Linked DNA regions of Tamandua tetradactyla. The protein of the gene in region 2 interacts with the protein of the main gene of each other region in a biochemical or structural test. Links are inferred from orthologs where the notes say so. Each region holds a gene or a part of one and is shown on either strand. Other genes may lie near its edges. The genes, in order: CABP1 and ITPR1.

The links.
Region 1: the proteins of ITPR1 (region 2) and CABP1 form a complex in vitro, tested with the Homo sapiens proteins (2 studies listed by BioGRID). The link is inferred for Tamandua tetradactyla from reciprocal best matches to the Homo sapiens genes ITPR1 and CABP1.

What each region holds. Positions count from the first base shown.
Region 1 is NC_135331.1:20,847,662-20,863,926, reverse strand, and holds the start of CABP1 (calcium-binding protein 1), read right to left. Parts: upstream 5,998-16,265; coding exon 5,353-5,997; intron 1-5,352. UniProt on the Homo sapiens protein: Modulates calcium-dependent activity of inositol 1,4,5-triphosphate receptors (ITPRs). Inhibits agonist-induced intracellular calcium signaling.
Region 2 is NC_135335.1:45,005,812-45,021,962, forward strand, and holds the start of ITPR1 (inositol 1,4,5-trisphosphate-gated calcium channel ITPR1), read right to left. Parts: upstream 7,643-16,151; 5' UTR 7,383-7,642; coding exon 7,336-7,382; intron 7,317-7,335; exon of another isoform or gene 6,495-7,316; intron 1-6,494. UniProt on the Homo sapiens protein: Inositol 1,4,5-trisphosphate-gated calcium channel that, upon inositol 1,4,5-trisphosphate binding, mediates calcium release from the endoplasmic reticulum (ER).

The DNA.
Region 1 (16,265 bases), on a different chromosome or scaffold from region 2:
CAGATACATGTTATGAGTGGGGAAACACAGGAACTCTGAGAATATGGAACAGGAGAATCTGACTTAGTCTGGGGAAGAAGGAGACCAGGGAAGACTTGTAGACAAAATGTAGAAAATTGACCATCTGCAGAGTTTTTTGAAAAGACAGCACTTTCTACAGACCCTAGAGGGGACTTCGGTTAAGCACCAATTCATTCCTATTAACTAAAGGGGTTGATAGTGTAAAGGCAGTCCAGCGTAAAGCAGAGGCTCTCAGAGCTGGCTGCAGGTGAGGATCCCCAGGGAGCTTGCCCAGAGATTCTGATTTAACAGGTCTAGGTGGGCCTTAGACATCGATGTTATTTAACACTCCCTGGGTGAACTAACCTTCAGCCTGCGTTGAGAACCATTCATTGAGATAGAGGTTAAGAGCCAGGAATATGGAATCAGACAGACTTGATGGCAAATCTGACCCCTGCTATTTTATGACTATGTAGGAACTGTGTTCTAACACGAGGACATGTTAAGCTCTTCATTTATAAAATGTGTTTTCTGATAGGACCCTCCCTCCTAGGGCTCTAGCGATTAAATGAGATAATACGTGCAAAGGGCTTGGCATAGTACTGGGAGCATGAGAAGTGTCCACTTCCCCTCCTAGCGTGAGTCTTAAAGGGACAGCTGTCAGAGTGGGTGTGGCATCACTCAGCAGGGCACCTACTCACTCAGACCTGGTGACTCCTGCCCCCTGCAGGCCAGCCCCAAGCACAACACCCGCCTGTCAACCTTGGGATATGCCTCTGTCCTTGGAAACAGGAGACAGCAAAACCAGGCCCCTATGGAAAAGTCATGCACTTTGATGTACTCCCATCCTGTTTTTTTGGGAGGGGAGCTGACACTAGTCTGACTTAAGAACAGCAAGGGACCCAGGTGCCTTCAGACCCAGTGCTTCAGAGCGTACCTAAGCTATTTAGGGTGCACAGGTGGGACAGTGGTGGTTCTGAGTGAAAGGAGAGGGGTGGGGACCAGTGATCCTGGCAGGGGACAGATGGTGCAGTCGGTGACAGGGGCATCCCCTAAGGAGTGAAGTGCATCGCCTGGCCCTTCTCCCTCTCCCTGTCCCTGTCCACGGTGGCAGCAGCCCCCATGGGCTCTGGAAACCGCTGTTAGAGTTATGGAATGGAGCAATAGGATCAGAGGGATGAGAAGGATAAGCCCGCTGTTGATTATTCCTGATTAGGAGGGAGGCTAGCTTGGGCCGTGTTTGAACTTGGATGACAGCCCAGTGCTAAGATACTCGGGGAAAGCTGGGTCCTGGCATGAGAGGTGCTAAGGAGATGCTTCTGACAAATAGGAGATACTTATAGTGACTTCCCACCAAACCAGCATGGTGCAGCACAGACAGATGTGTTTGGAGACAGGCAGCCCGTAGTTCTCATCGTGGTCCTGCCATTTATTTACTCTGTGACCTTGAACTTTTGCTCTCTGAGCCTCTAAATGGGGACAATAATGCCAACCTTCATGGGTTACCAGGAAGAAAAGATAATGAGAAGATACTTTGTCAGTTGTTTAGGAGGCTCTAGACTGAGGTCTCAAGTACCCTTGTTGCTTCCCCAAAACTGCCAGAAGCAAAATACAGACATCCTGGAGGCCTCCCCAAAACTGACTGCAAGCCACTCCTGTCACCTGTGATTGATAGTGGCCGTAAGCTGACCTTCTCCTTTCCCCTCCCCAGGTCCCAGAAGAAAAGCCGGAGGGGCTCCCACCAGTCTCAGCCAGAGGTAGAAAGAGACTTGGCCAGGCCAGGAGTGAGTTATGGGCCTAGCTGTCACTCTAGGAATATGTGCTTTAACCCATTAGGAGCCAAATCAGCATAGTTTTTCTCTTCCATCAAAAGCTGAAGTCCAGAGGCTAGAGATACCAATCATTCATCCATCCATCCATCCATGCATTCATTCATTCACTACTGCCATGTGCAAAGCAGTCTGGGAGCAGTGCTCGCCTACACAAACCAGAGATGTCCCTATAGCTTAGAAAGAGTGAAGGATAAGACAGAGCTCTGGGTTTTTATCATCATTTGCCTCCTCGACAAGGGGTGTTTCTTCCCAAGCTTTGGGTGAGGAACAGAAAGCCTTTTCTTAAAATAGTTTTCCAAGACCCAAAGCCAAGAGTTCCCCCAGATCATCTCTATTCTGAGTTAATTTCTGACACCATCTTCTTCTCTCCAGGCAGGTGGGTGGCATGTCCTTAGCTGGCCAGGGGGAAGGGAACTAGAGAAGGGCCCTTGACAGTCAGTTTCTTCCTTTAATACCTCTCCCCCCTCGGCTCACAGGCAGCTTTCAAATGGCCTTATACAGACTCTCAATCAGGCAATTATTCTGTTAATAGTAATAATGACATTAATGAAAGGTGCCCTTTCTTCTGTACCACCTCTGAGCCAGGCAGTTGCCATCCTTAATCTTGTGTAAGCCTCGTAATAACTCCACAAGACAGTTTTTGTTGGTCTCATTTCTGGATAAGGAAACCAAGACCAGAGAGAGAGAGTAACAGGCCCAAGGTCACACGACCAGGAGGTGGCAGAGCTGGGACTGGACCCTGCAGTCCCAGCTCCGGAGTCCCTCCATGCCTTAGCCTCAAAAGCATGCTGTCTCCCTGCAGGCAGTGGGGATGCTTTGCAAGGTCACTGAAAGAACCCTAAAAAAATCCCTGTTCTTCCTTAGTGGAGGAACCTATTTTGGTACCTTCAATGCCACGTTGAACCCTGGTTCTCCCTGAGGCTATTACAAATGGGAAAGAAAACAGGTCTGACACAGCCCTTGGTGGTTAATCAATAACAACCACGATAATAATAATGAATATTATTAGAACCTTCACCGTGTGCCACACCCTGGGCCAACTTCTATCTCCATAGTCCACTGAATTTCCCCCAAATTCATCAAGATGCTATGGTTATCCCTGTTTTGCAGAAAAGAAACAGAAGCTTAATGAGGCAAAGCAATTCACTTAGGGTTAAAAATACATGTATGGGGTGGGCCACAGTGGCTCAGCAAGCAGAGTTCTCGCCTGCCATGCCAGAGACCTGGGTTCGATTCCCGTGCCTGCCCACGCCAAAAAAATATATATATATACATGTATGGCACTTGAGAAATGTGGAAAATATACTTCCTCAGGGCTGTTCTGACCTAAGCAAATCCTAGCTGGAAAGTTTCTATATTCAGTGCACTGTTTCCACTCTCTAGGTCCTGGCCTTGTCTTTAGGGACAAATCTCAATGCAAAGAGGAGGGAAGGAAAGACTAATTCCTCTTTGTCACAGGAGACTGGAGGCTCTGATACAAAAGTCCCAGCCTGGGTTTTGTTGCTGTCGCAGTTGTCATTTAAGCAGATGCCTTAGAGACATCAGCAGGAATCCCAAACTGCATGTGCTGCAGCCCCAGAGGCCAGAGCTTCCAGGAGGTAGTAAATATTTGATGGGACCTTCCAGCTCCTTCTGACTCAGGTGACTCTGGTGACATTTCAGAACACTGGGCTGGGAATCTTCTTCATTTAATGACTGAGAAAGTAGAAGAGCCTGTAGTTGAAATGCTCAGCTCAGCAAGGGCCCATGCAGGCGAATTCCACCAGACTGCAAAGAAAGGGCCCTTTTTCTAAGAACCAACTCAGATCGCCAGCAAACTAAATAACCAGAAAGGATGTGATTCAGGACCAATGACATACCTTTCCACACTGCAAGACTGGAAGCTCTCCAGAATGGGCCAAGGCCCTGGCTGTCTTGTTCACTGTTGTCACCCTACTGCCTGGTCAATGTGATGCAGAGGAGGGGCTCAAGAAATACTGGATAAATGAATGAGTGGGTGTCACACAGCATCCCTGTTGCCCCTCAGTCCCGCTGCACAACCCACTTGTGTGCCCAAACACCCTTCAGCTCCTTACTAACACAGAAGCCACAGCAGTGGACTTTTCCCTCCACACATTCCCGCACGAACTTTCACAGCTCTGCCTCCAAATCCTGACTCCAGAGGACTGTTTCCAGCTAACTCGGCTAATGAGGTCTCCCTGTGGGAACAAAGCCGCACACTGCTGCCCTATCACATCACCCCAGCAGCCCGCTCAACCCGAATCCATGTGTAGCTGCCTTCATGTCAGACCTCCCCCGGCATCAGCCACTGCAGTGTAGTATTTTGAAAAGGAATGTGCAGATCTGAAGCCACACACACACACACACACACACACACACACACACACACACGCTCGGCCTTCCTTGGAATTGTGACCCAGTCCGGTGAAGTCAGGAGTTTGAAACGGCTTTTTTACTCTAGATCCTAGCACAGAAACTCTGGGGCCCCCTCTCTCCTACCCCCACCACGCGCACACAAATACACACACACGGTGCAGATGCTCTGATCAGACCTCTGCGCTACTCCCTGCCTTGGCTGCTGCAGAACTGTCTCGATGCTGCGCCAAGGATTTGGACTTGAGCACAGACTCGGCACTGGAGAAAATCCTGGCTTTGCTCAGGAGTTCACAGGTTCCTTTCCGCTGAGCCCCTCTCCCCAGCAGCGCACTCCCAAACTGCAGAGCTGGATGAGGATGACAGATTGGCTTTTTAAAGGGCAGGTGCCCAGCTGCCTGGGACCCCTGAGGGAAAGGCCTGCGGGTAACAGAAGGAGTCACTGGTGACCACTCAGTGACGTTTCTGACTGGAAAAGGCACCCCTACTCAGGCTAGGGGCCTATGGGTGTTGTCCCATGACCTTCATCTTGACAACTGCCCAGCTGCCATTCAAACGGCATCCTTATTAATAGCACCTCCTTATAACACCCCAAAGTTGCAGTCTGAACCATAGCTCTGTACGGCCCCTCTAGCAGACACCTCTCCTCTTTCTCACATTTTTGAGACTCCCTCTAGCTCTCCTAACTTTTTCATTCATTGCGTCTGTCTTTTCTCAAACGTCTGGGACCATCGTAGACACAATGGCCCCCAGCAATTCTATGTGCCTGTGCCCCCTCTCTGTACTCTGGAGTCCAGACTCCTTGCACTCTTGGGTCGCTTCCCGCCAGCTCCGAGCGCCCCTCCTCGACCCCTGCAAATCTCCAGGCGGATAGTAGAGGTTGTTCCCTTCCAAGGCTGGCGGACCCCGGCAGGTGTGAGGTTGGGGCCTCGCCCAAAAGAGGCCGGGAGCGCGGACAGCGCACAGGGTGCTGAATCAGGCACCGAGGAGGAGGCACGCGGCAAGGGCGCCGGGCCGGGGGAGGGCTGGGGGAGCCGCGGCGTGACCCTGGGGGCCGCCGGCTGTGGGGGGAGGGCTACGGGCGCGCGGCTGCGGCAGGGTCCCGAGCGCCTCTCCCGGGAGCGCGGGCGGGAGGCGCGGCCCTTACCTGGCCGAAGGCGGAGCTGAGCATGGGGCGCAGCCGGTGGAGGAACGGGTCCGCCTCGGACGCCGCGGCGGGAGCGGAGTCCCCGCCGGCCGGGGCTCGCAGGGAGCCCCGGAGGCCGAGCGCCGGGGCCAGTCCCCGTTCCTCCCCATCCCGCCCGCGGGCCGGCGGCAGCGGCGACGGCGGCGAAGGTCTGGGCGCCACGGCCGGCAGCGCCTCCCGGGGCCTGCCGTGCGCCTGGGGGAGCCCGCGCCGGTGCCCCCGCGCGCCCTCCTCTCGCGGCGCGGGCCGGCACAAGGGTCTCCGCGAACTGGGGTCCCCGGGCGGCGGGGTGGCGGGGCAGGCGCCGGGTAGCCGGCGGCCGGACAGCCCCGGCTCCCGGACAGGCCCGTGGCGGGGAGCCCGGCTGCCCCCGCTCGCCGCCGCCGCCTTCAGCAGCGACGTCTTGGACTCGCTTTTGGCGATCTGCGAGCTCATCGCGGCCGGGCCGGCGCTTGCATGGCCCGGCGGGGGCGGCGCGGGGCGGCGCGGCGCGGGGCCCCCGGCGGGCAGGGAGCCGGGCGCCCGGTGGGAGCCCAGCCCGAGGGCTCGCTGGAGGCGGGCGCCGTCCCCCGGCCGCTTAAATGCGGCCCCGTTGCCGCCGCCCATGTGACAGCGCAGCGTCTGCGCCCGGACCCTGGAGCTCCCGGGCGGCTGGCGGTGCGGATCTGGGGGGGCCGCTGGCTGTCCCCCGAAAGCCCACCCCCGGCTCTCCAGCGGCCCAGGTACCGCCGCGCTCCGCCTCTTGCCCCGCCCAGCGTTCGGGGAACCCCGCTTCCGGGCGGCCCCTGGCGGCGGACGGGGTGCTTCGCGCGGAGCCGGGAGCGCAAGGGAGGTGGCTTGGTTAAGGGTCCCAGTAAGGTCGAGACCCTGGTGGCACCGGCAGCGCCCTTTATCAGGCTTGGAGGTGCCCACAGGGCCCCGGAACCTCCTGAGCCGCAGGCAGAGTGCACCCCCGCAACTTCGGAAATTAGGAGGAGAGAGGTGCAGGAACTAGCGACCTAAGGAGGGCCCAAGGACCGTGCACAAACACAGGAGCCAGAATGGTGTGGAAAGACACTGCTGGAAGGAAAAGCTCCACTCTATAGGGTGCGTCACTCACCTCCCAGTCCCGTGGAGTGAGGCTGGGATGACCCGGGTAAATGGGGCGCAATATGCTCACTTCTCAGAACAGAAGAGAAGCCAGGTGGCCTCTGAACTGCTGGAACGGGGTAGGGCCTGGTGATGAGCAAGTCTCAGGTAGAACCTATTTGCCCCTCTTTCATCTTGTCCCCTTTCTCACCTTCATGCCTTTGTAGATGCTGGAGAAATTCCTCCTCTTGGGAGGGAGTCACAGAGGCTGGGCAAGAGTCATCACCTCTCTGAACCTTGTTTTCCTCTTCTGTAAAACGCAGGCAACAATCATAAATAACTTCATGGTAACAACAGATGACATCATGCACATAAAAGGCCCAGCCTAGTGCTTGGCACAGAGCACACACAGCCAAGCGAGGTCCCCTCCCTTTGCATGTCAGGAGGCCCCCATCTACCATGCTTATCTAGTAACATCCCGGATGTCTGAGATCCGAACAGGGGTGGACCTCCCAGGCTCTCCCTGTTCTGGCCTCTGGCCCTAGTACCATCCATGCGTGAATAGGGTACAGTCTGGTTACAGCTTCATCTTAGGACAGATACACAGATTGCCAATATGCTGCACTGCAACTCCTGCCAAGGCTTCACCCTTCTCTGCAGTCTGCTTCTTTCTTTCACATACCCATATGGAAGAAACTAAGAGAAACAGGATGGGCAGGTAAAGCAACTGCCCAGAAGCCAAAGTGAACAAGGGAACTGTGACAAATTGTACCCCAGCTTTCACCTATTGCAAGGGGCTGAACTGCCCTACTGAAGTCGCCCAGGCTCCTTAAAGCACAGCACCAAGGCAGGCCGGGCTGCTGCAATGTCCACTCGCAAAGCAAAGTGTAAAGAGTTCACCCTCTCTGGGCTTGGAGTCAATCAATGTCTTACCTGCTCTAGCCCTCAGAATAATCAGTGTTTGTCGGGATTAACTACAGATGTATATTCAATATAAATCGCAGGAGATAAAGTACGTTATCCAGTCCCTCGGGAGCTGATGGGATGCAGTGGGCTGATGGGCATTCCAAATCTCTGCTGCGCCACTCTTGGTTGCCTTTCTCAAACTCCCGAAATGCCCTGGGGCAAGACCTCTGTCAGCAACTACTTTCTGAAAACACGGAAGTACCTGGTTACAAAGCATGTGATTATTAGAGTGAATAAAAGAATTCAAAGTTCCATTTTGTTCCTGAAGCAAATGGATGAAACAGTCTATTCTGGATGCACCCCAGAACTCCATTTCATTTGTAACATTCATTAATTTGGTCACTTATTTTTTAAAAAGCATTTATAGAGCCAGGCACTGCATTGGCACCTGGGATACACAGACTCACCCATGCATTCAACAAATATTGAGTGCCAGTTATTTGCCAGGCACTGTTCTAGGTACCAAGGAATGGCAGTGAGTAAAACAAAATCTATCCTCAGCAACAAACATATAAATCCATGGAAAAGTAACGGCAGGTGACAAAGTGGTGATGTTTTGTGCCATGAGAACTAAAGTGGGTAAGAGAATAGGGTTTAATGGAGGGGACTGTTTTAGAGAGTGGTTAGGGAAGCCTCTCTGAGGAGATATTTGAGCAGAGAGCTAAATGAAGTAAGGGAGGAAACCACATCTTTATCTGGGGCAGAGATCTCCTGGCAGAAGGGGAACAGTTCAAAAGACCTGAGGAGGGAGCAACTTGGAGTGTTCAAGGAGAAGCAAGCAAACAAGTGGGGCTGGAGTGAACAAAGGAGAGACCAGTAGAGCTGAGGTTGGAGAGGAATGCAAAAGCCAGATTGCCAAGGGCTTGGGTTTTTTCCTAAGTGTGAAGGGAAGCCATTAGCCATTGTAGGAGGAGCCAGGTGCCATTACATGATCCAGGTAGGAGATGATGGTGGTTTGGGCTAGAGTGATAGTGCAGAGGTGGTGAGAAGTAGACAGATTCAGGAGGTGTGTAAAGAATGGTAAGATTCAGTCCCGGTTCTCAAGGAACTCAAATTCCTTGAGGAGAAAAACAACTATAATATAATAAGGAACATGTAATAAAGGAATTACAAGCTGGGTTATACGGGAGCACCTAAAAAGGGCCTTTGTGCAATGGAGTTGGAGGTGCCACAGAGGGTAACTTTGAGCTGTGCTTTGAATAAGTGAAATGCCACCAGTTGCATAAGGAGGGTAAAAGGAAGGGCATTCTAGAGGAAACAGCTTAAGTGAAAGCTTGGAGTATGAACCTGCATGGAGTGTTTGGGAAGAGAAAGTTATTTGGGTGGAGAGGAAAGAGACTGGGAGGGTGGGGGGAGATGGGCCTGAAGAGGTGGTTTGGAACTAGACTGTGAAGGATCTGGTATGTGATATTTAGGAATTTATTCTTTATTCAATAGACAATGGATGCGCAGCCAATTAAGCCGACCGTCCCCCTCTCCCCATGCGGGCCGGGAGTGCAGTGGATGCGGACAGCAGCCTCCTTGGTAGTGTATGCAGCCTGTTGCTTGTATGGGTTGCCCTAAGGGACCAAGGAGACAACTCAGCCCTTTCCTGTTGATGGTCCTGTCTGGCCTTGCGCTGTCCCCAACCTAGGCTCCAGACAGGTATGCGTGGTGTCTTTGGAAAGCCCCAGGGTATGGTGGCCAGAGTCCACATCAGCCAAGTCATCATGTCCATCCCACACCAAGCTTCAAAACAAGGAGCATGTGATAAAGGCGCTGCGCAGGGCCAAGTTCAAGTTCCCTGGCTGCCAGAAAATCCACATCTCCAAGATGTGGATTTTACCAAGTTCAATGCTGATGAATTCAAAGACATAGTGGCCGAGAAGCACCTCATCCCAGATGGTTGTGGGGTCAAGTACATCCCCAATTGCGGGCCCTTGGACAAGTGGTGGGCCCTGCGCTCATGAAGGTTTTGCTGGCACTGCCCTCACCTGATCTGTGCCCACCAATAAACTACTTCCTGGCTGTCCAAAAAAAATAGACAATGGAGAGTCCTTGAAGGTTTTTTAAGTGTGTGTAGGACATAAGCAGAACTGTGTTTTTAAAGAGAATGTTGATGCATTGTGGGGCTGACAAGAAATAGAGTGGAGGTAAGAAGGTCAATTAAAATTGCTGAGTGCCCGCCACGTCCTAGGCATTGGGGAAAGAGTAGGAAAGAAGTCAAGCAGCATGCTTTCCTTCGTGGCATTGAATCTGGTAAGAAGGTGTCTGGGTCCACTCAGGAAATATTTCCAAAATACCATCATTAAGACATGAATGTGGAAAAGGAGAATGGCTTGCCTCTCTGATTGTGAGATATGCTGGAAATAAAGTGACTACAAAGAGTCCTGCCATGCAGAAATAATTGTTAAATAATCCCTCTGGATTGTATAGATCTTTATAGCTTTACAAGAATTTTCACATAAAGTCTGTCATTTGTCTTTTTTTTGGAGGGGGGGCATGGGCAGGCATTGGGAATCGAACCCGGGTCTCGGGCATAGCAGGTGAGAATTCTGCCTGCTGAGCCACCATAGCGTACCCTGTCATTTGCCTTTTAAGTGTTAACCAAACTGTAATTATTAAATAAGTTACATGTTGTTACATTATTTGACTATATAACTTTTAGTGAAAATTATGCAAAAGAAGAGTTATTTTGGAGAGCTGGAAAGACATCCCAGCACAAAAGGGCTGTTAAAAAAGAGAAGATGGGTCTGGGACCATTATGTTAATCAAGAAAGAACCAGTATATCTAGCTGTCTTTATTCTCATTTCTAAGTCATTCATAACGAGTAAGGCAAGCTTAAGGGCAAAATTCTCAAAATGGGCTCCTGGTGCTGCTTGTGTGCTCGTTCGGTGTGGACCTGGTACCTCTTTTGTGAAGCGGTAGCTGAGGAGACTCCGGCTTTCGCTATGGCGGACGAAAAGCCCAAGGAAGGAGTCAAGACTGAGAACAACGATCATATTAATTTGAAGGTGGCGGGGCAGGATGGTTCTGTGGTGCAGTTTAAGATTAAGAGGCAGACACCACTTAGTAAACTAATGAAAGCCTATTGTGAACGACAGGGTTTGTCAATGAGGCAGATCAGATTCCGATTTGATGGGCAGCCAATCAATGAAACAGACACACCTGCACAGTTGGAAATGGAGGCTGAAGATACAATTGATGTGTCCCAGCAGCAGACAGGAGGTGTCTATCAAAAAGGGAGCCTGCTACTTTACTCCAGAACTCTGTTCCTGCAGACCAAGAAGACATTCTCAATTAGAAAAACCGCAATTTGGTTCCACCACATCCTGACTACTACAGTATAGTTTTCTCTATTCTTTCATTTTACCCTTCCCTGTTCCTTTATTGTACATAAAGTAACTGGTGTATGTGCACAAGCATATTGCTTTTTTTTTTTTTTAACTAAATGGCCAATGGTATGTTTTAATCGACATCAAATGGAGATGGGATGGGGAAAAATACTGGTTCTGTGAAAATACCCCCTTTCTCCATTAGTGGCATGCTCATTCAACTCTTATCTTTATATTCCAGTAAGTTATTTTGCTCTCACTGTTTAACAAAAACCAACAACATAAAAAAAAATCCTTGCATATCTTGTTCGATTGGAGAATTTTAATGTTTTTCATTTATCATTGTAAAACCAAGGACAATTTTATAACTTTTTTGTATGTAGCTGTTACATGTAGGGCAATCTGTCTTTAAGTAGGGATAAATTACTCTAAAAGAAATGAATCCTAGATAGTTTTCCCTTCAAGTGTCTTTGTTGTTTAAATAAAATTCTTGTTTAAAAAAAAAAATTCTCAAAATGCTCACAGATCTCTCATTTAACATATCTATCTCAGTTTGATAATGTCATGTCTCTGTGGCAAACCCCTTAAAAACTGTTCTTTTATTCTGGCCAAGACCGTGGCTTGTTTAGAGTCTTGAGAAAGGTTGCAGAGCATTTGTACAGTAGTGCAATTAATTCTCTGTGACGTGTCTGGTCTAGCTCATTTCTTTCCGCTGCTGTCAGAGTCAAATTCTGCACTTAATCTCCCCTTTGTTTTCAGATGACAAAATCTCTGTTAGGTTTCAGAAAGCTGGGATTACAGAATGTTCTTATGGCTTAAATCCTCTGCGGCGATTGGGGAACTCGGGAAGGGAGTGGATGAGAATTGAGGCGGAGGGGGAGTTGGTGGCCTGAATAGGGGATTCTTTTCCAAAAGTCTGCCTGCCGTTTGGAGCTGAATGTTCATCACTTAAGAGGATTTTAATATTTTTTAAATAAAATGAAAGGGGGTGTGGGCACCAAGGGTATATGCATTTGTCAAAACTGAACTGTCCACTCAAGGCTTGTCATTTCACTGTGCGTAAATTACAACTCAATAAAAGAAAAATCAAACAAGCAGGAGATGTTCTCAGGGACATGAATTAAGATTTTGAAAATAGTGGCAACCGAACTCGGTTGAGAAGAAGCTCCGACAGCGAGTCAGAGGTTGTTACAAGCTGGGTACTCTGGAGACCATTAGCTTTCCATGATTTTGTGTGTGCAGCCAATATCCCTAATCCTAGCTAGTGAGTTCTTTATTTGTTTCCAAGTCACAAGGGCAAAGGAGAGAAAAGGCATAAACAAGGCAGCTTCTGTCCCCTCCAGATGACTGATCAGTCAGAAGTTCTCAACTTCTTTAAGAATGGCACATCTGTTCTCCAAATATTAAGATATATTTGCCCCACCATCAATGTCATTCAGAAAATTCCTTCCTTTCTTTCCCTAATCCAGAGCAGTTTTCAGTCTCTCTGAAATCCGGACAGTGATCATCTCCTATGCCTGACTCCTTTAATATTGATGGCACACATTTGGGTACTCTAATAGTGTAGATACATATGATAAGTGTACAACACACCGGAAGTTAGTCACTGCAGCTATGCAGTTTCCACTAGCCAAAATGCAACCCATATTCAGATGACGTCACGAATCTCCAGCCACGGTGCCCTCCTTTATTATCAGTCTACCCCGCGAGACTCCACTAGACTGTACATTCCATGAAAGCAGAGACAGGGGCTGTTTTATTTACTACTGGATATCCAGCACTTAGCACACTGGCTAAACACATAATAGTGCACTCACAGTAAGTGTACAATTGAAACCCAGTGAAAACACATTTTAAAGAGCAAAAAGTTAGTGTTTATACAGAAATGAATCCCCTTTGTTTAGACTGAACAGGGGAAAATGGAATTTACAAGACTCTGTGGCTTGTTTTGTTTTTCTCCTTCAGACAGATCATTTCTGTTGTATGAATATACAACCTGGGTCCCGAGTGACCAAGTGTAAAGCCCTTTCAGGTCCAGGTATGTTTTTGCCATAGGCAGGAGAGTTCTGTGTTTTAATTAGAAGGTTCCATTCAAAATCAGAGTCAGCCTATGTGCAATCTGTGGGCAGGGCGATCACATCTGTGGCACCTGGAGTTGTATTTTGACCCTACACCAAGCAGACGTCTTGGTACCGCACGGTTGGAAACAAAGGGGGTTCGGCAAGGGAAATGTTAGCAGAGGGATGGGAGGCACTTGGAAGCTGAGAGATAAATAACTATTCACCACCCAGGATGGGAATGTTTCCATATTTTAACAATTGAAAGGCAATACTAGAGTATGTCAACTGATTTCTATTTCCTAAGTATTTCTACCACAGGTTGTCTGAGAAACCTCTGCTTCCTTGAAAGCTGCCATTCCCAGGTTTTTAGGCGTCTTAAAAAGGACATCAATACATCGTGGTTCCTTCTGAGAAAGGACAAGGGAGGCTCCTTGCCTTACAGAGTTCTGAAGTCGTTTTCCTTTAGCAAGGATGACATCACTGACTCAAAGATGGTTTCCAGTCAACTGCCCTATCTGGGGAACAGTCATTTCTGCAGGTATGTGACCCACTGTTACAGAGAGAAATGCAGACTTTAACCAGCTAATATCTCCTCTTCCAGCTCTGGCAGAGCCAGTCCTGCCCCTTTGCTGTGTGAGACCCAGCAACAAGGATGCAGACAAGGACTACACGGGGTGAGGGAAGTCAGAGCCCCAAAGATGCTCAGCCTTTAATGGAAGAGGGCTCTTAGAAAAGATCTGGCAAATTCTCTGCCGTTTCAACTACACTTTCTGTTCTCTTTTTATCTGCTTTCAGCATTTCCAATTAATCTTGGAATGAGAGCCGAAGGCAAGAAGCCAGGGGTGTCTGCCGAATACTAAAGAGCAAATTGATCCAGGCAAACAAATGCCAGAGAGGGACCCCACGGCACAGAAACAGACACTCTGAGCAGCTCTCCTGCTACCATGAGGCTTGCGAGGCGTGTACGCGGGTCTCCGCATTGGCACCATCTGCCAATTCCTCAAGAGGACAGAACAAACCAGCGAGGCATGAAGATTAGATTATGTAATGCTCGAGGATTGCTGTTTCCAAAGAGGAAACAAATGGAACGAATTGATTTGCTTGTCAGAGACATGTCACTAAAGGAGACCCGTTCCCACCTCCAAGGGGCATGGTTTCACAGATTCTGAAAAATGTCAGGCCACAATCCACTCCTTTCAGAAGAGCAAGTCCAGTTTCCAGAGTTGCACTGACAAATCATCTTCTGGTCCCCTGGCCTGACAAATGACTATTCATTCAGCTACACCTAAAAGGTAGCAACATGGCAAGGACGTAATTGCTAGTTGCCAGCTATGCCTGAACACTCTTGCTTCTGGGGAAGCAGCATCTAATTTTGACACCAGTGGGGTCGTGTTTTACTCTTCAGAGCTCTAAACAAATGCTTTCAAAAGAGCAGGGATGTGTTCTTAAAAAATGCATGCGTTAGGGAGAATTCACTGCATTTCTGATATCCCTTTGCTACTGCTGGGCTTCTCTCAAAATGCCCAGTATGGTACTTTTTAGAGTATGCTCAGTGGATCTGAAGAATGAACTGACTGCTGTAGTTCCGAGCCCAAAGGTCCCCAAGCCTCCATAAGATACCAAGCTTTAATATCAAGATTGAACAAGTATCAAATGTAGCCTACTGTACCAGCTATTTTCCATTTGTCCCTCCCGATCCACTTTTCCACCCTTCCCCATCCTGCTCTCTGCCCTGAGGAACTGACCTATATGGACTATATCAATTTGCTCCCTTGCCTTTTAGCTTCCAATTGGGTTCCGCCAAAAGGAAGCAGCAGCAGGCGACTGGAGGGCTGGAGGGCAGGGAAGCTGAAGCATTTATTCTGCCTCCCCCCCCCCACCCCCAACCTCCCTCTTTGTTAGACAGACTCATGTTGATTGTGTCTTTGTTAAAAGGTCACCGCTCTTCCCAAGGTGGGCCTTTCCATCCAACTCTCTCTTTCTGGGTTGGGTAATTTCTCCTTCCCCTCAACCTTCAAATCTGTGGGTGGTAACAGCCTCAGCTGTTACTAGCCCTCCAGGAACTGCACTGTCCCTCACAGTTCCCCTAAACCCTGTCCCAAAACCCTTTGTAACCGGTCCCCTTTATTAGCCCTCCTCTAATTACCTAATTTGAGTTCTACCATCTGTTTCTTACTGGGACCCTGACATACACCTATCACACAAGTCAGTCTGTTCTAGGCCCTGAACGACATTATTTTTTTAAGTAGCGAAATTAATAATACAATATGTTACTACTTTATGTAGTTATTCTCAATGTTCACCTTTTCCCAAGGCTATAATAACAACCTAAAGATAAAACCGAATTCCTCTTTACAACATAATTGTGCAGCCGAGTTTGTATGAGCTAAATATAATCTGAAGAACAAGCTTTTTCGTGCTATCAAAATTCATGTTAACAACTATAAAGAGAGAACTACAGAACTGATGCTCCCGACTTGAGATTTAGCATAAAACATCTACCAATATTGAAATTAACCCAACAAACACTTGGAAACCTATGATGAGGCAGCAAGGTGGTGATCTTAAAGCGAGGAAAAAACCTAGGCCCTTGCCCAGTGAGACTTCATTCTTTCTTAGGCAATAAATGCTACTCCCCAAAAGTTGAATGCAAATTGTATTTTCAATCAGTCAAATGATAACACTGAACGATTGTGGGAAGCTTACTATTCGAATCATAATTTTATAAAATAGCCACCCTTTGATTGATCTTTTGAGCCAATCGAGATTTTTTTCATACATCCAGCATGCTTCAGATGAAATTTATCTTTAGTCTGTAGGGAGGATTGGTCTCCTTGGGTGTTGCTGGAGTAACAGAAATTGTGGAATGGAATTTAGAGGAAGGATAGGGGAACTGCCATTTATAGAGATCATATAGAATGCCAGGCAGTTTGCATCTGTCAGCACATTTCATCCCGGAAATAAACACCTTCTCCATCCTTTCAGTATTTTCTCCTTTTGAAAAAAAAATTAGCATGACAGGTATGGAACTTAAAAACCTTTTTTTTTTTTTTTTTGAATAAGGACGCAAGACAAAAATATTATTGTGCTGAACCTTAAAGATCAGCTACACTGGCTTCCCGCTACTCTTAGAATCAAGTCCAAAATTCTTTCCACAGCTAACATTCCCGCCTCAGTTCTCATGACCATCCAAGGCTTCTTTCCACTTGAAGGCATTTTCCCCTCCCCTTTCCCTGGTCCGTCGGCTACCTCTTCTCTTGTCCTCTTCTCCAAACTAACTCAGGCTCATCCCTCCACTCGGATGACACTTCCCAGGGAATGTCTGCCTTCCCAGCTGGGCTGTGTCACCGTATCTCTGGAACCGAACACCGGAGGAGACCTGAAGGCACATCCATCCCCCGACTGGAGGAAGGGATGCCTAAGGGCTGCCCAGGGCACCCAGCCTGGTCAGCTTTCCTTTGATCC
Region 2 (16,151 bases):
CCTTAGACCCAGCCAGACTGGCTTTATTTTTAACTCTAATTGAGGCATGATCTCTTTTTCTGTTACTTTAACCATATTATATACAACTATGCTAACTTTCAGGGCTACAGCACTCCAGAACATAAGTTTTATTTTGTTTTGGTTTATTTCATCTCCAAGACCTTTTGCAGGCATTTATTATTATTAAACACCCTAGCATCAGTGACCTAGAGCAGGTATTTTTATCCTTAGTCTACAGGAGAGGAAACAGACACACAGATGGTACATGTTTTGCCTGTACCCCAGAAGCAGTCAACACCGAGTCCTGGGAGTCCCAGCAACGTGGTTCAGCGAGGCAATGCCATTTCAACGTGGTAGCAACTCAGTTTCACTACCTGATTCTTACTTTCACTCCCTTTTATTAACACTCACACAATTTCCCAAGCATGATGCTTTCTAGACCGCTGATGTGCACATGTCAAAAGTTACCAGAAAGAACCGTTTAACCCTTCTCTACCTGGTCCTCACATAACTCTCTACAGCAGAAGGGATTTGCAAATTAAGGAGCTAGTCGAAAAAATATTATTTGGGGAGAGGAAGCACAAAAATCAGGGTCATCTAAGATGCACCCTAGAGCTTTCAAAGGGACAACAAAAATGTATATAAATAACTTTACTCAACAATTTTTTGAGCACTTACTATAGGCTAGGCACTCTGGTGAGTTCAACAAAAAGGTCCATGAGGAAAATAGATATAAAATGCTATGGCATTTCAAATGACAGTAAGATTTTCAAGTATCAGGAAAGGCTTCCCAGAGATGGACGCCTCCAGCCTGGGTCTGTAGGAAGAAAAGATTTGGGTTAGGATATAGAGGGGCAGGGGCTAGGAAGACATAGAGGGGCTGTTGTATGAGCTTTTTTTTCTGTTCAGAAATATGTACGTGGTGATGCTTTTACAATGGTTTTGGAAAAAAAAAAAGTCTCTTCCCAGCTAAAGCTCCTCCTGACATGCAAAGAGCACTGAGAACTTGGAAGCCAGTAGTACATTTATTGGGTTCTTCTTTTTCCCCAACGAGCAAGATTATTCTGAGCAGTCCTGACGTTCTGCTGAAGGGATGGATCATAAAAAATTATGAAATATAAATTCCTCAAAGTGCCCAACAACAACAGCTTAAACTGCAGCTTTATCTGTAATTTAACAATTCTAAGTAGGTTCCACTGCAGTTTCTGGTCTCTTCCTGACTCTATGTGAATAGCCAATTAAAATGTCCCCTATGTTTAGGTATGGAAGTTTCCCATGTATCCATGAAAGAACCTAGCCAATTTATTTGCTCTCACTTTAGGGTGGTGTTTTAGCCTCTTTCCACTTAACTGAAAATCAGAAGGCTACTGGAAGGAAGCACAGAAGACAGAGGTGAGCATCAACCATGAAAAGACAAAGGAATCATAAAAATCAGGCAAGTATTTAAAAAGCAGAGGGGCCAAGAATCGTCCAGCACAGAGCTTCTCAAACTTTCATATGTGAGTAAAACACCTAGGGATCTTGATAAATTCAAGTTCTGATTCAGTGGGTCTACGGTGGGGCCTGGGAGTCTGCATTTCTAGCCGGTTCCCAGTTGAGTCCAATGCAGTTCACACATGGAGTATCAAGGATGTGGAAAAACGTTTCTCAGATTTTGACTGCAACTTTCAGCAACAAATAGTGAACTTCACCACCCAAAGTTCACTGTGTGTGTGTGAGTTTGTTGCAATGTACACAATTTTATTTAGAATCCATGCAATACACACTGATATTTTCTATTTTAGTCTACTGCGTTAAAAAAAAAAAAAAGTTGATAGCCACTCACTAAATTGATTTCACGACCTTTGAATGAGTCACTACACAGTTTTAAAACCACGAATGTGGAATGTTTCTGCTTAATTCAGCAATACCACTTTGTCTTAGCTCCCAATACATGAAGGCTTGAAATTAGACCAATTTAAAGAAAAAATTAGGTTATATTCAGAATTCTTTTTAAATTTTTGCATTTTGGGGATGCTTTCAATAAAACTGTTGAGGTATTAAGTTTTCCTCATTTAAATTTCTATTTCCTCGCTTATAAGATGAAATTGACAAGAATACCTACCTGATACTAAGCAGAGGTTTCTAAATACCATTTCCCACTCAAAAGAACGAGGGCTCCTTGGAGAAATGGCCAATTCCACGTCAAGAGCAAGAAATACAGAGATGTTCCTGGAACATCTTGTCAGATAGAAAACAAGAAAGCATTCAAAGATCTCTAAGGTTGTATCAAAAAAGATACCGGAGACCACCTGAATAGCCTCTCACTGATTAAAGATAGATAATTTGAGCATCAATAAGGATAACTACGCAAGGTTTCTCAATGGTGGCAAGACTTATATTTTGCATTTTGGACTGGATAATTTTGGGGGATGAGAGGCTGGCCTGCACACTGTAGGATGTTTAGCAGCATAGCTGGCCTTAAACCCACTTAGTGCCAGCAGCATACCACTCCCCACCCCACCCCCAGTTGTGGCCACCAAATATCTCTAGATATGGTTGAATGTCCCATAGGGGGGTAAAAGTGTCCTGGGTTATGACCACTGCCTTGGAGGACATCAGGGAACTAACTCATTATTTTGAAAACTGGTAAAATAAATAGACTCAAAACACCTACTTTGCCTTTCCTACATGAACTGTACCTCAAGGTAACCAAATACTTAAGTGGAGGCAATTTCTTTTCACAAAAGTATCCCAGCTAATAAATAAAGAAAGGAAAATAGAATTAGGGGTTTTACAACTCCAAATGAACTAATGGACCAAGGAAATGAGCATCAGTGGTTTACTTGTCATCAGGTAGGTATTCTTGTCAATTTCATCTTATAAGCGAGGAAATAGAAATTTAAATGAGGAAAACTTAATACCTCAACAGTTTTATTGAAAGCATCCCCAAAATGCAAAAATTTAAAAAGAATTCTGAATATAATCACACAAAAAGAAACACCCAGTTTTTCATACCTCCCCCAAGTGAAGCTCACAAGGTAGACTTGATCAAAGGAAAAAGAGAGAGAGAGAAAAGAAAAGGAAAAGAACCTGAATCTCGTGATGACTCTATATTTAACTACCAAATTATGGTAAAGGTAGGGAATAAAAGAACATGTGAAGCTCACCACATTGATGCACTCAGTAAAATCCAAACCATGGGAAAATATATGACCCAGTTTCTTTAATAAAACAAAAAACTGTATGGAAATAAAAGCACTGTAGGGGAAATATGTAGATTAATAAATAAACCATTTATAATATATGGACTTCACTGAGATCTTGATTTAAACAAACTATTAAATACATTTGTTTTAACTTACATACACATTAATCAAAGAATTACGAATATAGACTTGGTAAAAAAAGTCTTTCATTTTGTTTTGAGATGTGATAATAATAGTATTGTGATTATGTTTTTTGTGTGTGTTTTAAGAAAGAATCCCAACTCTAGATATGCATAATGAAATACAGATGCACTAGTATGTCTGGGATTTGCTGCAAATAATCCAAGATGAGAGTGGATGAAGATATAGATAAAACAAGATTGGCTGTGAGATAACTGTTGAGAGTAGGGAAAGAACTGTTAAGAGTATTAAAGAAGGGTTTATTATACTAAAATATCTAATACAGCATGTATTTGAAATTTTCTATAGTAAAGCTTTCTTTTTAAGTACAAGCAAATAAATAAATAAATACCTATCTACCTATCTCACAGCATTAGGTTACTCTGAAGAACAAATGGGAAATTTTATATTCAAATGAGATTATTACTATACTTTACTCCTGTAATAAGATAGCGAACATGCATAGTACTTTATTTTTACTTTTAGTTTTCTTAAAAATACAGTATAAACTGAATGAGAAAAACTGGACTGTATGATAATGATGAAACCTAAATGATACACTTTTAACCTAATGATTCCATGCATGTCATCACTCAAATGACATCCCATCAAAGGCATAGCCACCTTCGGGAAAATGGAGACGCAGATGGCTACTTATAAACAAGGAAAGATGCTCAAGATAGATTGATTGCAAAAGGAAAGTTACCAAGAAGGAAGCATTCTATGAGTCCCTTTTTATGAACTTGACATATACCCATGATTTTTATACATATATATCCAGACAGAGAGAAAGGGAAAGTTTAGAACCCGAATCTTTGGACGGTGGAGTTAGGGGTAGCTGGTTTTGGTGGTTTTTTTGCTTGCCTTTATTTTCTGTTTCACTACAACGAAAAACGCGTATCTTCACATAATAAATAACAAAAATTGAGGTTTGTTTTAAGTTTGCACATATGAAGGGGTCCACTTCACTTCTCTGGGGAACTTTTCATTCCCCAGAGATGTTACAGAAGCAGAGGATTACTTCTCATTGTGTAATTCCCTTAACGTGAGACTGGGCCAACTGCAGGGTGCAGTGGGACACAGAAGGTCTGTGCTGAAGATAAACTGCAGACATATCGCTAGGTTCTTAGAACATGCTATCCAAACTAGCTGTAGGCTCACCTATTTATCAATGAGGATTCTCTGCTGAACTGAACTGAATTACAATCTGGGTAAATCATGGGATTAACCAGCCAGTATAGAAACCTGGGTTTTACCCTGTAGATTAAGCTCCCCTCTGGTTATGTGGCTTTGTCAGATTTACTGGGCTCTCCTCAGAAATAATGACATACTTCAGTGATGTTGAGAATCAACTGGGCACTGTATAAGAGTTCCGACATCCCCAGCTCAACCACTGTACACCTGTAAAAACCTGGTCCCTATATGGTCTGACCCTTACTCCTCTCTCACTGATTTCCTAGCACCTGCCCCAGGGTCAGTTCCCCACAGCTCCAACCCACCCTGGCCTCCCTGACATTTCTCCAACATGGTCCACCTTTTTTTTTAACCACACCAAGTGCCTTAAATTATGCCCAGTTTAGGGAATCTCAAAGCTCAATAGGTTCGGGTTTCAGTGGTTTAATCAGCTCATCCTCATCAGTTATTGTTTCAGAACCACAGACACTCAATTGGTAAGAATTACAGAGGTATGACATACATGTCAATGGCGTCAAGCCTTAATTGCATTCATCCAAAGAACTGTGCAAAAATCTTAAACAGCAAAACTGAACTAAAAATCTACATTCATTGCCAGTTAATGGAGAACATGCAAATTCAATGTGTTGTATTTTAAAAGCCCAAACCAACAGCAAACAAGGTGGGACATTGGCTTGTCTAGACTCCTTAATCAGATGTATTCAAGGACAATTTGACCTAGAAACCTAACTCCAGGCCTACTTTTATTTTGTTTTGTTGTTGTTGTTGTTCATATTTGGTATTTGTTGTTTCATTTTTAAGAGCTGCTTGTAAAGAGATCAAAGTTTCCATGAGACCATTTTAAATGAACTAAAATGCCATGTGATTTTCTTTCTCTAGAAGACAAACTGGCTTACGTTTCTTTTTCTCTATTCCTTTCTTTTTGTTTACTTATTTTGTTTTTATATGAAACAACTCGTCTTCCTGAGCTGAAAATATATTAAAGGTAAAGCAACAAATCTGTCTTGTGGAGTTTATCTATTTCTTCACTTCTAAGCAAGTATTACTGCTCTCATTCTCAAAAAGAGAACAGCAATTCCCTGCAAAAGGCAACCAGTTGGTTAAACGGATGCCATTGTCAATCCCAAATGACTTTCGTGGGTCTCAGAGCTAGGCCAGGAATAATTAATTTAGAACATGAAGAACTTTCCCTGCTTGATAAGAAGAAAATCTTGATAGGATTTTCTGCTCTGATTTGCATTAGTCAAAGCAGTTTGCACTTTCAACACACATATGTGCGCACACAAACACACACACACACACGTACAGAGAAAGAAAATAAAATAAAAAGTATATTATGCTCAAATGGCCACAGAGCAAGTTGACATTTGTGAAAATATATCAACATTTCACAGTGCACAGCAATTTAAACTCTCAAATTATTCAGATGGAGAAACAACAGACTCTTTCAACCTGTTTGATGTTGATGATCAAAATATTTCTCAGATATGAGATGAACCCCATGCTGAAATCAATGTTCCCCATAGTTTTGTTTTGTTTATGTTTCTTTTACTTTCCGCATTCAGGTTTTCAACACATAGCTTTCCAAAGAGAACCATGTACCACATCTAACACCTCCTCAAACATCTACGCTCTTTTATCCCTATATTTATGATTACATCGATTCCTTCTCACAGCAAGGTAGTGCTGTGAATCCATCACTGGTGTGACAATCAATAGTTATTTCATCAACAGCAATAAGTTTACCAATTTTCCGAACATCCCCCTCACTGGCCTCCACCCCTGTAAACTAGGTGCATTTCTAAGATGCACTGTGACTTCCGCTGCCTGGGGTTATCTTACTTCCACTGCATTCTAGCCACCAGGAAATTTAACATACTAGCCACCAGGCAATTTAACTCTCTGCATCTCATTTTTTTCACCTGTACCTACCTAACAGTGTTTCCATGCTATATGCCTCTGGACCTGGCATACAGAAAGTACTTCCCGTCAAAGAAGAGTCTGTGAGCCAGTTTCTCCTTGTTTGCAGCTTACTTTGAAGAGGGGCGCTTTACTCAATCCTCGGCCTTAGGAGTGCCCAAATAGCCAGGCAAGTCAATAAAATCCAAGGGCTCCAAGAAGGAACTAGGCTTCACACATCCAAATGCTTCCCACTCCACCAACACTCCTTAGGATCTTATCAACAGGAAACAAAAGCACTGAACTACCATAATGAAGTGCCTGACTTCTATTTTCTAATTAGAAAAGCCCAAAGATTGTAGCCCAGGGAACAGCTAAATATTTAGAAGGTTAAAGGAGTTACTAAGACTCAGCCATCCCCATTACCACTTGTTTACCATGTTATTGACCATTTTAAAAGAAAAAAAAAAAACTTGTGATGGCCAAATCTACAGTAATGTGGATGTTTGTGTACCCGTTAAAACCTCCCTCTCTTAAAGTGCAGTCTGACCATTGTCAAGGGAGGGGGTTGAGCAGGGGGAGGAGCTGCTTGTGTTTACAGATAAATCCTACCTTCAGCTCATATTCACGACAGGCACTGAAACCACAAGGACCCATTAGAATTCCGAAGTTCAGGTGGCTTAGTAATGGCTGGGTGCTACTAACTTATACTTCAAGAACTAACTTCCCATTTTAAAGCTCTAATTCTTTCAACTCGTCAGCAACCACTTTCATTTCTTGCAATTCAACCTATTCTAATTAAGCACACATTCACAGTAAGAAAAAAAGAGGCAACTATTTTTGAAAGAGAGAGAGGCAGTTCATTTTTGCTTACATATCTTGGCAGATGAAATGCACTGCATCCTTCAGAACTGAAATCATCAGCACGTTCCTTGGCAAGTTCGATTTTCAGGCCACCAATGAGCCTCCCTTTGATTACTCCATTTAAAGTCTTTTTCCCACTCTCTCATAAACCTTCAGGCTACTTCCATTCTGAGCCTTGGCCAAAAGTGCTAGGCAGGACTGCCCCCTGGATTTCATCCTCCCTAAAGCCCTCATCAACGGCACTGACAAATGTTACAGAGTTTACTTTTCATTCCTAAGCCCCATCTCCATAGCTCTTTAGCGTGTATTTTAAATACACTTAGGACAAAAACTCATTTTTGACCACAGCACTCAAGCGTCCACTCACCTGACCCGGGTCAGGCACTCCGTTGCCAAAACACGCCCAGCTTTGCTCCTCTGTGGTCAGCTCCTAAGTATTCAGGAAGAAAGACAATTCAGTGTAAAGGCCACGGAACGAGGCTCCCTAAAGAAATGCTCCAAACCCCAGGTTTCCACCTTCCTTAGCGTCTCCCGGGCAGGCCACCCAAATTCGGCAGGCAGGTGGGTGTGACTGCACGGGCAAAGATCTCAGGTCACTCCACTTACTTATTTCCAGCATGCAACTGACAAATGTGCGCTGGGCACGCACAAACTTTGAATTTACTGCGGGGAAGAGGGGGTAGTGTGGAACTAAGGGAAGTGCTTGGCAGATTCCAAAGCACTTGTTTCTTAGAGCAGAGGCCAAGAATCAGAAGCCCGCATCCTCATTGGGCATGAGCTTCGTCCACACTTCATCCCTTACCGCTCCCCTCCGGTTTTCTTCCGTCTCGTAAAGCCCTCCTCCCGGAGTCCTCACGCATGTATTATTCTATCAACCTTGTAGCACGAGGGAGGGCTACATTTTTAGAAAAATTGTTTCCCTGAGCAAATTCACATATGACACTCTCCCCGCCCTCCCCCTCCCGGAAAGAAAAAAAAAAAAACCCAAACAAACAATTTCCTGCAGCTGCTGCAACAGTTTTCAACTTGGGGGAATGCCATTCCAGTCCAGAATGGGTGACCTCAAAGCCGGTTCAGCAGTTGAGGATTTTTTTCATTGTTGTTAGACTTCAAATAGCCCCCCGCCCCTTCTCAAAAAAATACCCCGCGTAAAAGAACGCCCAAATGCACGCCAAGTGCAGGCATATCCATCAAGAACTCCCAGAGAGCGGGGCAAAAACTTCTGCGCCCGAAGGGACAGCACCAACTCCCCGCGCCCTCTGCCCGGCCCCAGCCGCTACCTTGATGCCGGGGGAGCCAGGCCGGTTTGGGAGAGCAGGGCGAGGAGGGGGTTAGCAGCCGCTGGGTAATCCCATGTCCGCGAAGAGGGAGCCGTTCCGTTAGGATGGAAGCGGAACATCCACACCTCCTCCCGGCGTGCGCTCTCTCTCTTTCTCCACCCCCTGCCTCCTCCTCCTCCACCTCCTTCTCCTCCTCTCCGCCCACCCCGGCGAGCTTGAGGAAACGCTTCAGCAGCACACCCACATGGTTACTGCACTTAGAAGTAGCTCCTCGCCGCTTATATAGGCCAGGGAGCTCCCTGGGCAATGTAGTCCGAGTCCGGGGTCGCAGCGGCGCCTGGGGCTGGAAGGATCGACTACAAGCCCCAGAATCCCCTGGGCTCCCAGGCTGGGTCCTAAATAGGCGCGCGCGGAGCCGGGGGAGGGGCTTTTAACCGGGTTTCTCGCCCAGGGGTGGTGCGGCTGTCAGTCCGCGCCCCCTGGAGGGAGCCCCAACCCCTGGAGGCTCTCCTCCTCCGGCTGCCCCCCCTTCCCTTGCATCCAGGTAGCATGGGGACCGGAGGACGGGGCTGGAGGGGAGGTGGAGTGTGCAAACTCGCATTTCTGCTTTGGGAAGTTTTTACAAGCTGTTACCCACTCTCCCCCCTACTCTGAATCTCTGAGCCAAGAATTTCAGAAATCCCGGGCACAAAAACCCCAATGTTTGCGGTCAGGGATTAAAGGCTCGAGGTTTTCTTTATTTAATCTGATCCTCCCCACTCGGGTTTGCACAGAAAACTAAGTGAGCAGACGACGGTCCACGCAAGCAGGTCGCTTCTGAGCACTTTCCTGAACCCGAATTGCTCGTCCTTCTCAGCCCCACGGAGGAGTGAGGAAACGTGAGTCTCTTGGTGCTCAAAGGCCGTATTGTGACTTGCAGCGCTAAGACTGGAGGCAGAAAACAAATAGAAACCGCGACCTCAGTTCTGACCCTGCTTCGGGCGGCTCCTCTACCCCTGGGAGCTCTAACTTGCCTAAGTAAATAAGCCGCAAACCAGAAAAATAAGAAAATAAGGGCTTTGGAGGGAGTCGCTGCCCCAGAGATGCGCGTCCGCGCGGGTCGACTTCCCGCAGCCGTACACCGGCGTCCGGGGCGAGGTGGGTGCAGCCTACTGCCAGGCAGCCCCCGGGCTCCTGAAACCCAAGCCGCTCCAGGCTCGGCTTTTGGAAGGAGAGGAAGCGCTAACCTCGAAGCAAAATCCGCCGACTGGTTTCCCTGTCTCAAACACGCGTGTTCATTCCGCAGACGTTTCAGGAGTGCCTCCTGAGCTCCAGACGCTGGGGCATGATGGAAAGCCAAAATATAGGGCAGCACCCCAGAGAGACATAGGGCTTACAACAGTAATCATAATAAAGTCGTGGAGGCTGAATTTATTTTAACGCTTTTCCTGCATCATGCTATGAATTTTAAAATTCAACAACCTTAGGCATATCTGTTATCCCTCTTTGACAGGTGGGGAAACTAAGGATTCAGAGAAATCAGGTAATTTCCCAAAATGACCTGTAAGTGGTGGAGCCAACTTCGGTTCCAACTCCTTTGAGTGTATGAAGCCCTTGTCTTTGAGGAAATCCAGTGCGAAAGACTTGCACAGCCCTCCTTCACCCATTTTTGGAGCTGCCTCTGCGCGGATGGGCAAGTCATTTTTATCTCTTTGCCCCTGTTTTGCATCTTAGAGGAAGATAATCATTAGATTTAGCCTACTTTCTCCCAGGATTGCTGACTCTATATAGAGTCAACAGTCTTGCAAAACTTTAGGAGCAAATTAGCACCAATTTCACTGCAGCTAAAAATAATTACAGAAATAACAATGACATAACTAATAATCACTGGCATTAATTGGATGCATGCCACATCGGGCATTGTTCTAAAACCTTACTGTATTTTATTTCATCAAATCCTACTTATGAACCATTTCACCAATGAGAAAGCTGAGTTATAGAGAGGTCAAAAAACATTGCCAAAGTCATACAGGTGTCTGGGCTGTCTGACTCCAGAGTCCTTGACCTTAACTTCTAAACTCCACTGTCTGCTAAATACAAAAACATATGTATTTTATTTATCTCACATCTATATGAATTTAATACCAGACCAAGACTAGGTAAAGCTCCAGAAGCAGACAAAGTTTGTGTTCTTTTACTCACTCTTGCCCCCTCCTCTCTTTCAGCACCATTCCCTGAGCGCTAGACCCTGCTGCCAACTAGCATTTGGCAGTGTTACTTGATCTTTCTATGACTCAGTTTTCTCATTGGTAAAATGGTTCATCAATAGGGTTTGATGAGACAAAATACAGTAAGACCTTAGATCTATGCCTGACACATGGCATGTATTCAATCAATGTCAGTGATTATTAGTTATGTCATGCCATCTCATCATCAAGAAACTCCATTTTCCAGAGGGTCTTTGACTCTGCTTTTCAAGAAAATTCCACAAACCAGCCTATGCTAATATAATTGGTAAATAGTGAAAGGTAATTCTTTCATGTGCTTCTAACTCAGAAACACAATGGGATTTTCACATGGGTTTTCAGAAGACAATTTGGTCATGCTTGAGAAGTGGCGTTTCATCTTTGCTGTACAGTCAACACTTGGCCCCTACCTGCTTTTCCAACTTCTTTAAGTCTGCATTCTCTCCTAGACCACAAATTTCTTTGAAGCAGGGACAGTGTCTCATTCATGCCTGTATTCCCTACCTCCCTTGATTCTGCAAGGATTAGTCTTCTGCACATTTTAGTAGACGTGTGGGGGGGAAGTGTTTATAAAAAAAATGTTTTAATGGCTTTAATGGAAACTGTGTCAGGCATGTGACAGGCTAGATAAACATATTTTTTGAGCACACAAGCTTTGCAGCCCACTCATATCATGGCCTGTTTTCTCTGCTGGTGTGTGCAGATGGTCCTAGTCAACATTTTACAACTGACAGCAGGTTCTGGAAGCAACTAGGTCACTAGAAAGTAATTTTACTAATTTTGCCGTTTTCCTAAGAGGTTGTCTATGATAAGGCATGGTTGATGACTGATGAAGATGTATGTCATGTCAGAATAAAAACTCCACCACCAAATTTGTTCTCCATTATCAGTAGAGGAAGGAGAGTTTCTTTTTCTTCACTGTTGTTTTTTTCCTGAAAGAATTGTCTAGACCTGTATTGTCCAATATGGTAATCACAAGCCATTTAGGCATTTGAGATGTGTCTAGTCCTAACTGCGATGTGCTGTGAGTATAAAATACACATTGAATTTCAGATACTTAATACAAAAAAATGAGCACAATATCTTCATAATTTATATCTATTTATATTTTATATGGATTACATGTTGAAATGATAATATTGGGATATACTGGGTTAAAACAAATTATTAAATTTAATAAATCCTGCTTCTTGTTACTTTTTAAAATAAAGTTACCTATGTGGTTTCTATTACATTCTATTGGACCATGCTCGTCTAGACAACTATGAATCTGATTTCCAAGTTCATAATCAAGATGGTGACCAGTCCTGAAAATAGCCGTTGATTACTTTGCCCTTGAAATGCCCACACAGTGAAACGGGAGGGCTTTGCAGAGTCAGTAAAATATCATAGACTGAGCAGAAGTTTGAAGAAGACCCAATAGAAGCATGCCAGCCTACCCCTACAAATAGAAACAGGTTTTTGCAGCAGTACACAGCTGAAAACTGCAACTGGAGGCATTTACCTAGAAGCCCATCCTTAATTACTGTCCTAAGAGAACAAAATATGCTGGAAAGAGCTGGGTCAGAAAAAATAGGTTGGACAACCAACTGCACCCTTGATATCCCTGTAACTGTGGCCAGTCACCTAACCTTGCAGAGGCCCAGGTCTGTGATAGATTGATAGATTCTCAATCTGTCTTCTCATTGATAGATTGAAGCTAATAATTTAACTGGATCAAATGCATCATTGGACATGAGAGGGCTTTGCTAGCTTACCCTAGTAACACCAATGCAAGAGAATGCTATCGACAAGGATGGGGACAATATCACCGTGCCCTGTTATAGTACTCAGCTGCAAACTTCAAATTACTGGGCCACACAATCCCCATTTTTCTCCCAGGCACAAGATTTCAATTGCCTATGGATATCACAAGAAGCCTTGATTAAAATCTTCTCCAAGTCATTCTTAAATGTGGCAAGACCAAATGCCTGACAATGAAGTCACAGAATTCATTTTTTTGATGCTAATTCATTACCTAATGTGTTAGACTGCCTCTGAACATAAAAAAATATCAATACACAGAAATAGCTACTGTGCAGTCTTCCAACTGGTCATTCTTGGTCACTGTTGACTTTTTTTGTATAGTAAGTGGACAGAATCACAACCCTCTTTGAAAAACTATAAAAGCTATGAATACGTGTCCCAGCATGTGTTAGTTAGATTCAGTTGTCAACTTGGCCAGGTGAGCATACCTAGTCTTGTTGCTGAGGACATAAGCCAATGGTGCGTGAACCTCATCTGTTGCCAATTACAGCTGCAGTCAGCTAGGAGGCGTGTCTGCTGCAATGAGTGACGTCTGACTTAATTGGCTGGTACTTAAATGGGAGATTGCAATGTAGCACTGCTAGCAGCTTGGCATTCCTCATCTCAGCATTCCTCATCTCAGCACTTGCAGCTCAGCCCAGGCCCTTGGAGATGGAGAAAGAAATGACCCCGGGGAAAGTTGTTGGAACCCAGGGGCCTGGAGAGAAGATCAGCAGAGACCATCCTGTGCCTTCCACGTAAGAAAGAACCTCAGTGGAAAGTTAGCTGCCTTTCCTCTGAAGAACCAACAAAATAAATCCCCTTTTATTAAAAGCCAATCCATCTCTGGTGTGTTGCATTCCGGCAGCTAGCAAACTAGAACACAGCATAACTTAGATACTCAAAAGATTAGCACCAGTTCATGGAGCTTCTTATACTAACCCCCAAACCTCATTCATAGACACACACTCCCACAAGATTAGATAATCTTTTAACTCCATCTTTCTGTGATAAATTCCTGAAAATAGGCACCAGGTCCTATATTTCTGTATTCTTTGTAGCATCCCACTCAGCTCTGGACGCAGAGTTACTTGCTAATTGACTATTGGAACCACAGGCCGGCCAGAAGAAATGACGAGGAACCATGGAGCAGCCCTAACTGACATAGCAAAAGCATAATTGGTGTTGTTTTGAATGAGAGCAATCAGTTTGGTGTGCAGCTAGGAAAAGCAAGGTATTTTTCCTGAATTCAGGCTCTGGACATCCTGTAAGGCTGAGGAAAGACACAAACAGGAAGAGACCCTATATTTGCCGTCCTAGATGTGAAGTGAAGAAGATATTGCTAGTCAATCACCTTGAACATGGAAGGAACATAGGCAAATTGCCAGTATTAACTTTAAGATCCAGGAAGCAGCATAAAAGTCACAAAAGAATGCAAAAATAAGAAGTTGCTACACTTTATACATATGGAAGTGGCAGCTATATTATCACTGGTGATTGGTACCAATGTTGCCTAGAACCAGGTAAGCAAATTAGGAACTTTGGCTGAAGACTGTTATTTCTTTATACATTATTTTCCCAGGAAACATGCAAAACCAGTGGTTTATTATCGGCTCAGACACTTCTCACCATCTCCTCCCTCCCTTCTGCTCTGATAGTCAAACTGGATCTGAGGTCTTGAAAAAATCTAGGGAAAAGCCTCATTGTTTTACCCTAATGTTTGGACTGAGATGAAATGTTTGTCAAAAGAAAAATGGAAAGCTCTTTTTTGCAGAAAAATCCAGCTAATACACGTAAAAGTAATAATAAAACTAGGAAATCACTACTTTGCAACTTCTAGTGCAATAACTGAGTTAGACAAAGATTATCAATAGATGACAAACGAGAGAAAGAGACAGAGAGAAAGCAAATGTGGCAATATGTAATAATTAGTAGATTTAGATGAAGGATATGTATTGTTCATTATTCCATATTTTTGATTTTGAAACTTTTCAAAATAAAAACTTTAGAGAAAAATATTGACAGCAAGAGAACATTGAGTACAAGGGCCTTCTCCCTATCCTATAAACAAATATCAAACCTACTGTTTGTACTTTATCCCTCAAAAGGTTATATAACACCTGGCGATTTTCAGAACTCAGGTGACTACAATTCCTTCCACGCTGTTGGTATTTACGTGGCTAAGGTTTTTTTCACAGTTTGGAGTTCATAATTGTAAATATAATATCAGCTACAGTTAATTGAGTTCCTTCCAAATTCTAGACATTAAGCTAAACCTTTTATGTACAATATCTCATTTAATTCTACTACAACCCTATAAGTGAGATATGGTTATGACCCCATTTTATGGATGAGGAAACTGAGGTTAAATAATTTGCTAGCATTGTCAAAGAACTAGTATCTGATGGAGCCAAGATTTGAACCCTGATCAGATAGCCATGCTCTTATCCACTACATTATACCCTTCATACTTGTGTTGTGTGGCTGGATATTATCAATTACTTTAAGAGTCTGGGTAATGTTGACATTAGCTGCAGTCACAACCATAATGCATGTATTTATACTTATTTCTCTTATTCAAAAAATTATCTAAAATCTTGCCCATCTTTATGAGTTGTACAGTTTTGCGGGAAGAGTAGTCATTTTATATCTAATGCCATTGCTCTATATTCTTTAAAAGTGATTAAAAAGTACAATAAATTATTGGAAATCTACAGTTGACTTCTTGGGTAAAATGCAAAATATTATCTCAACTGCACAATTTTGTTTTCCAACAGCTCCAAGTTATAAGTTATGCTGTTTGTTTCAAAATGTCCTTTGTACCCCCTTCGGGGAGTGGTGGGAACGGGGAGAAATTCAGCTTCCCCAAGTTGAATTCTTGATATTCTCACAAGCAGTATGGACAGCCAAAGCTATAGGCAGAGCCCCCAGTCTTGGGGTTTGTTCATATGAAACTTAACCCCGCAAAGGATAGGTCAAGTCTACTTCAAATTTAGGCCTAAGAGTCACCTCCAAGAGAGCCTCTTTTGTTGCTCAGATGTGGCCCGTCTCTCCAGCCAACACAATGAGCAGTCTCACCACCCTACCTCTCTCTCCACGTGGGACATGACTCCCAGGGGTGTGGACCTTCCTGGCAACGTGGGACAGAGATCTTGGAATGAATGGAGACTCAGCATCAAGGGATTGAGAAAACCTTCTCGACCAAAAGGGGGAAGAGGGAAATAAGACAAAGTGTCAATAGCTGAGAGATTCCAAACAGAGTCGAGAGGTTATCCTGGAGGTTACTCTTATGCATCAAGTAGATATCCTCTTGTTATTCAAGATGTGATGGAGAGGCTGGAGGGAACTGCCTGAAAATGTAGAGCTGTGTTCCAGTAGCTATGTTTCTTGAGGATGATTGAATAATGATATAGCTGTCACAATGTGACTGTGTGATTGTGAAAACCTTGTGTCTGATGCTCCTTTTATCTACCTTGTCAACAAAAGAGTAGAACATATGGGATAAAAATAAATAATAGGGGGAACAAAGGCTAAAA